Macaca fascicularis: one gene and its partner. The protein of the gene in region 1 binds, or shares a complex with, the protein of each later gene. Links are inferred from orthologs where the notes say so. Each region holds a gene or a part of one and is shown on either strand. Other genes may lie near its edges.

Region 1 (3,743 bases):
CCTGACCTCAGGGAACCTACCCGCCTTGGCTTCCCAAAGTGCTGGGATTACAGGCGTGAGCCACTGCGCCTGGCCAGGATCTTCTTGATGTACTTTTCTCTGCAATTTTTAGATAAACTAACTCAGTGGTAACAACTACAATTTTTATCTTTTTGAGATATATGATCATAATACGACATTTGAGCTGTTAATAATTTAAAAGGGTGTAGAGTGAAACAACACGAATTAAGCATCTTTCCTCATGAATATTTTGTTTAATTTAGGTTTTTCAGCCTATGTTAATGGAATATTTTACCTATGAAGAGCTTAAGGATATTAAAAAGAAAGTGATTGCACAACACTGCTCTCAGAAGGACACTGCAGAACTCCTTAGAGGTCTTAGCCTATGGAATCATGCTGAAGAGCGACAGAAATATTTTAAATATTCTGTGGATGAAAAGTCAGATAAAGGTGAGATTCATATATATAGATAAAGAACAATTTATTAGTTATAAGGTCATTGACATCTTACTGATATGAATTGTAGATTTTGGTTGAGGAATAATTTAAGTTAGGCCTGTACTGTGGTCAGTTAAAGGCGTTATTTTCATGTATCAATTTAATTGAAGACAATGGTTCTCATTTTAGAATTCAGTGTTGTGTATGATAATTTAACATATACTTGGGACGTATTCAGTGTAGTGTTTCTTGAATGAATTTATATATGAGTGAATCCAAATTATTGAAAACTACCAGTACAGAGCACTGGCCTGCTCAAAACTGAGCAGTCAAAATTGTTGAAAACTACCATTACACAGAGCACTTTTGTGGTATCATCCTGCTTCCTGAGCTTTATTGACCATAGTGGCTGCTTTTCTCTTTCCTTGTGTTTTTTCATTGGTTTTCAAAATCAGTTATGTTTATAATTTATTTTCATCCTTTCCTGTGTATCATTTTTTCAGCTTGTATCCAGTAATATTCAGAGGAACAAGTACTAGAGGCAGAGTTTTTCTGTGTTGTTACTCTGAAAATACAGATGAGAAAGGCAAATAAAGTTTATTTTTTAAAAAATAAACTACTTCCTCAGTAATTATTTATGTTCACTTCTTCAAGATTGGCGGCAGCAATGGGATTTCTGTTAAAATAGCTTGGAGTTTTTTGAAATTGGTCCTTTTATTTTTATTTAACAATGTAGGTGAAATGCATGTTGAAACAAATAATTTTACAAGTTAAGCAATAATTAATCCCATAAAGCTTGTATGCCTTACTCTGAAATATAGCTTGTGCTTTAGTTACCAAGCTAAGACTTGTTGTGTCTGGTTTAATTGTAATTATAACATGGGATTTAAAGGCATCACACTTACTACATTTTATTTTCCCACTCCTTCAAAGCAAATTGTAGCTGTATTATGTTTAAAATATTTGGCATTTTAAAAGTGGTAGTTTAAAGAATGTGATCATAGCGTTTCTATATTTAAGTTACTTTGTGAAACAAATCAGATATATAAAGTACTCAAATTCTTCATATGACTTTAATGATGAATCTCTTATATTTTTTATTGTAACACCTCATTTTCATTTTTATTTTGGAAATTATTACTGAAATAATAGGTTTATATATCCATAAGTACTTCCTGCAATAGTTGCTGACAAAAGATTCCTTATCAACGTGAAACAACATCAGAAATATTTGCATTTTGTCGTGTCACCTGCGACATAAATAATTGAAGTAGTTTAAAGCACCTCTAGGTTAAGGCAGTCAGATTTCGCAGACCTCTTGTATGAAATGTGAAAATCAAAGAGGGAATACAAGGAAGATTATTGACAGGAGTCATAATGCATAAATGGAAAAGGTCATGAGATTTGTGTGTGTCATTAAAAATGCCTTGGAGATCTCATAATCTGGCTGACTCTATACTTGTTGATTTAAAGCTGTATAACCTGTTTGGTTCCTTTTTCAAGTGATGCTACTTAATGCTACAAAGTGAGTATTGTTTTCTCTGTGATGCCTTTGTAAGAGGAAGTTAATTCTGTGTTCATTATTGTAGCTCCCACTGATGAAGTATGATTTGGGCCATGATAGTTTAACCCTACTTGTTCTTAACAAGTTTAACATCCCCATGTTACCTCTAATACATGTTATTTCATTTTCACATCTTGCAAGCAGGAAGGAGTTGACTTCAGGCACTGGATTTTGTTTATAGAAATGTGATTGTAATTTCTTATTGCATTTGCTCTTTAGCCTTTACTGGTAAAGTTTTTCTTTTTTATTTCAGAAGCTGAAGTGTCAGAACAATCCACAGGTATAACCCATCTTCCTCCTGAGGTAATGCTGTCAATTTTCAGCTATCTTAATCCTCAAGAGTTATGTCGATGCAGTCAAGTAAGCATGAAATGGTCTCAGCTGACAAAAGCTGGATCGCTTTGGAAACATCTGTACCCTGTTCATTGGGCCAGAGGTAGGTAAATGGGTTTTAAAAATATTTTCATGTTTTTTTGTAAATGAATATTTATTTACATGAATCAGCAATGCCAGGGAGGGAAACTCTGAGAGATTCATCAAAAAGTAGATTTTATAGTTAGATGATGTGTTTTTGGTATATATATTTTTGGAAAACTAGCAATGCTGAAATTCATGGGTAAATTATAATGGTGTCTGCAATTAAAAAAATTAGGAAAATATATTTGTGGGAGAGGATGCAAAAAGATTGACAAAATGATAATTATTGAAGATAGGTGATAGATACATGGGGATTCATTATGCTAGTTCTTTCTGCTTTTGACTGTTTTTCAGAATTAAAAGTTAAAAATAAAATTAGTATGCTTTCGGCCGGGCGCAGTGGCTCAAGCCTGTAATCCCAGCACTTTGGGAGGCCGAGACGGGCAGATCACGAGGTCAGGAGATCGAGACCATCCTGGCTAACACAGTGAAACCCCGTCTCTACTAAAAAATACAAAAAACTAGCCGGGCGAGGTGGCGGGCGCCTGTAGTGCCAGCTACTCAGGAGGCTGAGGCAGGAGAATGGCGTAAATCCGGGAGGCGGAGCTTGCAGTGAGCCGAGATCCGCCACTGCACTCCAGCCTGGGTGACAGAGCAAGACTCCGCCTCAAAAAAAAAAAAAAAAAAAAAATTAGTATGCTTTCAAAACTGCTTTAAGTAATTATGTTTAATAATAATTATATGAATATTTTAAAAATACAGAATAAATTCTATAAAATTTAAGGGTGATATACCATTATGGCTCCATTTGGGTGATGGCTCAAAATAATTGTGAATCTGTTTCTGTCTTTGACCTATCTTTATTTGATTGGTAATGCCACATTCTCTGAATCACAGTTTCATATAATATCATTATAGTAAATTACTTTCACATGTGAACAGTTAAAGACAATTTTCTTTTCATCAGCATATAATGCAGTTATGGGTTAAATACAACTAATATAGCATACATTTTTTCTGTCACTGAATTAAACAATTTCTGCTAGGTGAGTTTTTTTTTTTTTTTTTTTTTTTTTTTTTTAAAGGCAGAGTTTCGCTTGTGTTGCCCAGGCAAGAGTGCAATGGCACGATCTTGGGTCACTGCAACCTCTGACTCCCAGGTTCAAGCGATTCTCCTATCTCAGCCTTCCAAGTAGCTGGGATTACAGGCGTGTACCACCACACCTGGCTAATTCCGTATTTTTAGTAGAGATGGAGTTTCACCATGTTGATCAGGCTGGTCTCAAACTCCTGACCTCAAGTGATCCACCTGCGTCGGCCTCCC
Region 2 (3,743 bases), on another chromosome or scaffold:
CTAGAAGTAACTGAATGATGTTTGAAGGCTACTGTATCATTTAACTCAGGTTTCAAAGGCAGATCTCAGATTATATATATATGTGTGTATATATATATAACAGGTCATTTAAATTTACAGAAATGAAAACATAATTCTAAGAGTCCAGTAAAATCACTTTCATATACTCTACTAATTCACATAACTTTTAGCAAGTACTGAAACAGATTGTTTCCCCCTAACAACTTAAAAGAAATTTAGAGCTACAGTTTATCTCGAGGGCAAAAATCTCTCTCATGGGCTATAATAAATTACAGTCTTATTCCACTACTCCAGGGAATGTTTTAAAAAAGTTAATTTATGGCAACAGAAATACGTCTTCTCTAGTTTGGTCTTAATCAAAGGGGCCTTATAAATACAAGATACTTATTTCAGTGGAAGGAAAATAGAGCTTTAGTGAGTTCAATGTTTTTAATCACCAAATAATTAAAACCATTCATGGCTCACATCTTTCGATTCTTTCTGAAAGACAAGTAGGTTAAAAAACAAAAAGGAAACAAAGACTGAATTCAGAGGTTCACTCCAAAAGGCAGGTCCTAGGCGTATACATTTCTACCAAAAATGTCAGCAGAAATACACAAATATGAAAATAACTTTACACTCAGACTAATTCCAAAAAAACCCACCATTCCAAACTTTTCACCAGTTTTAGCTTTTATATACTAGCCAATACTAAATTTAGCATACTTTTCTCTGCCATAAATTATCTCTACTCCTTTTCCTCTACACGACACATTTCCAGTCAGTTAACTTGCATGGCTGTCTATAAATATCTGTATTGACGTACCATTTACTGAAGTCAATTTGTAAAGAATGGTCAACTGTAAGATCTGTTGGACAAGCAGGATGGACTTTCTTAGGATCACCTCCAAGAGTTTTCACTGCCTCCCTCATAGCAGCAAAATCCACCATTGCCGGTATTCCACTAAAAAATAAAGAATGGTCAAATTATAGTCCAAATTGTTTTTTATACATGCTTAATAAATGATCAATATAAACTTTTTCATTTTCACATTTTAAAAGTATCCCTGTCTAGTTTACATTCATTTTTCATAATGTAGTTATTATCTAAATTTAGGAGTATCCTGGTTTAATGGGAATTAACATTAAACATTATCTAAGGACTGAATTACTTGGGCAAATGTGCCAAAAATAATAAGAGAGAATTTTTGGAGGCATAAGTGAACTTCAAGGAAACTGCCTGTGAAACTCTCTTTCGCCGTGTATTTTTTTTGATGCACCCTCCCCTTTTCCTAGTTCCACCCCCTTCTGCCTAGTGCCTTCATGTTACCCCAAAGCTATCCACAGTAGCTTTTGCCATTTTACATTCATCCACCCACCTATCCAGCCAAATATATAACAAGTATTATCAAATGCCTTCAGTGTGCTAGATACCAATGGTACAAGGCCAAGTCAGACATAGTTCTGGCTCTCAAAAAAACTTTAGGGAAGATAATGATTACAGAATAGTATCGTAAGTACTATAATAGCTGCATAAATTAACAGCTTGAGGCCAGGAGGTCGATGCTGTAGTGAACTATGATCACGTCACTGCACTCCAGCCTAGGTGACAGAGTGTTGACTGTATCTCAAAATAAGATCAAGTTTTCAATATGTTAAGTTTGAGAAACCTATTGGCTATGTGGAAATCATAAGCAGGTAGTTAAGCAAAAGCAGTTTCTGAATAAATGGTGTAAGAAATACCATTTATTTCTTATGCGGCTATGTATCGCAAGTACTGTAATGGCAGCATACATAGGTTACAAAGAGCTGTGGCACACAAACCAGATTTGAGTGGGTGGGGTGAAGAGGATGTTCTAGCTAACCCCTATGCCTCTTTCAAAACTCAGCTCAAGGTTAACTCTTCCAATAAATAATCCCTGGACACCCAGATCAGGCAAAATCTTTCAGAGTATGATAAAGGCTCTGGATTTTGTTTTAAGTGTGATGGAAGCCAGCTGGTATATGGAGGGATAATATGACTTGATTTACATTTGTAACCAAGTCACTCCATCTTCTGTGTAAAGAACAGACTATTGATTCCAAGTGTGACAGCAAGGATACCAGTTAAGAGGCTATTGCAGTTATAGTCCAGGTTAAGAGAGAATGGGACTAGAACCACAATGACAGTGATAGAGGTGGAAAGAAATAATTGGACAAAAGATATATTTCAAAGGTAGCACTGACAGAGCTTGCTGATAGACTGGTTAGAGGGTATTAAAGAGAGAGAAAAATCAAGGCTAACTCCTAGATTTGAAGCCTAAACAAATGGGAGCGTATGGTGACATTTACTATAACAGAAAAGACTTAGAAAGAAATAGGTGAGTTGAGACAGACAATCAAAAAATCAAGTTTTGATGGCTGGGTATAGTGGCTCATGCCTGTAATCCCAGAGCTTTGGGAGGCAGAGGCAGGAGGATCGCTTGAGCCCAGGAGGTTGAGGCTGCAGTGAACTATGACTGCATTACTGCACTCTGGCCTAGGTGACAGAGAAAATCAAGTTTTCAATATGTTAAGTTTGAGAAACCTATTGGTTACATAGAGATCATAAGAAGGTAGTTAAGCAAAAGCAGTTTTTGAATAAATGGTATACAAAACAGGTGCCTAATTTTTAATGAATTGCTTCAGTTTAGAAAGGGCAAAATTTTTAAGTTTATAAACTAACCTTAAAATTAAAAAAACAAAACAAAACAAAAAAACAGAACCATCCATCAGGGAGTCTGAATTTTTATTTTTTTTCTATTTTTAGAGACAGGGTCTTTCACTGTCACCCAGGCTAGAGTGCAGTGGTGGGATCACAGCTCACTGCAGCCTCAACCTCCTGGGCTCAACTAATCCTTTCGCCTTAGTTTCCAGAGTAGCTAGGACTACAGGCATGCACCACTATATTCAGCTAATTTTTAAATTTTTTTTTTGTACAGACAGGGTCTCACTATGTTACCCACACTGATCGCAAACTCCTGGGTTCAAGTGATCTTGCTGCCTTGGCCTCCCAAAGTGCTGGGAGGTGTCAACAACCACACCCAGCCAAGAGTCTCAATTTTAAAAAGGAAACACACTCTAAGAGTTCATTTATGAAAAATAAACCCATTACTTACGTAAAATCTTGAAGAAGAACACGGGCAGGGAAAAAGGGCACTTCAACATTGCTTTGTTTGGTTTTCCAGTCTAAAATGTTCATAACATCTTCCTTCTTCATTAAAAAGCCATCACAATTTCGTACAGCAGCTTCCAACAAGACCCGTATTGAATAAGGCAGAACATCTGATTCAATAAAATATTACGATTAACAAGCAAACAGTCATACCTATATATTATTTTTAAAATGCCACAGCAAAAAGTTAGATAAAGACAAAAATGCAGGTTTCTCAATTTAAACAGTTCATTTTTAGTCTAACAAACTAGAGTATAACATCGTTCATGTTAACATCAGGTGTTTTGTAACTGACTTTCCTGTACATAACCTCAAAGCCCTGAAAAAAGCAGAGATAAAAACCTTCATACAAGAGTTGCATTAATTTAGGAATATCATACTGCAACCATGACAAATACTTGACATTCAAGGAATTCACAGAAAAACTAAAAAGCACAGAATATCAGAATTGAATTCAATAATGTAGACATCCCCTAGTATGGCAAAAAGAAAATGATTAAATTGTATAAAGTCTTTAATAAATTTAAATTATTTCCAACAAAAATGACTA

The links.
Region 2: the proteins of FBXL5 (region 1) and IREB2 are in contact, whole or in part, in a cryo-EM structure (PDB 6VCD), measured with the Homo sapiens proteins. The link is inferred for Macaca fascicularis from reciprocal best matches to the Homo sapiens genes FBXL5 and IREB2. Residues at the interface, in NP_036293.1 of Homo sapiens: Asp656, Glu657, Tyr661, Cys662, Asp663, Asn664, Ile665, His669, Ala670, Asp671, Thr672, Ala673, Ser674, Gly675, Cys676, Gln677, Asn678, Leu679, Gln680, Cys687, Arg688, Ser689, Gly690, Glu691; in NP_004127.2 of Homo sapiens: Asp89, Phe90, Ser129, Asn217, Val220, Glu221, Arg224, Arg228, Ala758, Gly759, Ser760, Arg763, Asn764, Thr777, Pro778, Arg779, Asn782, Ser783, Tyr784, Gly785, Ala786, Arg788.

Annotation. Positions count from the first base shown.
Region 1 is NC_088379.1:14,781,931-14,785,673, reverse strand, and holds part of FBXL5 (F-box/LRR-repeat protein 5), read left to right. Parts: intron 1-263; coding exon 264-450; intron 451-2,255; coding exon 2,256-2,438; intron 2,439-3,743.
Region 2 is NC_088381.1:55,824,410-55,828,152, reverse strand, and holds part of IREB2 (iron-responsive element-binding protein 2), read right to left. Parts: intron 3,304-3,743; coding exon 3,138-3,303; intron 965-3,137; coding exon 827-964; intron 1-826. UniProt on the Homo sapiens protein: RNA-binding protein that binds to iron-responsive elements (IRES), which are stem-loop structures found in the 5'-UTR of ferritin, and delta aminolevulinic acid synthase mRNAs, and in the 3'-UTR of transferrin receptor mRNA.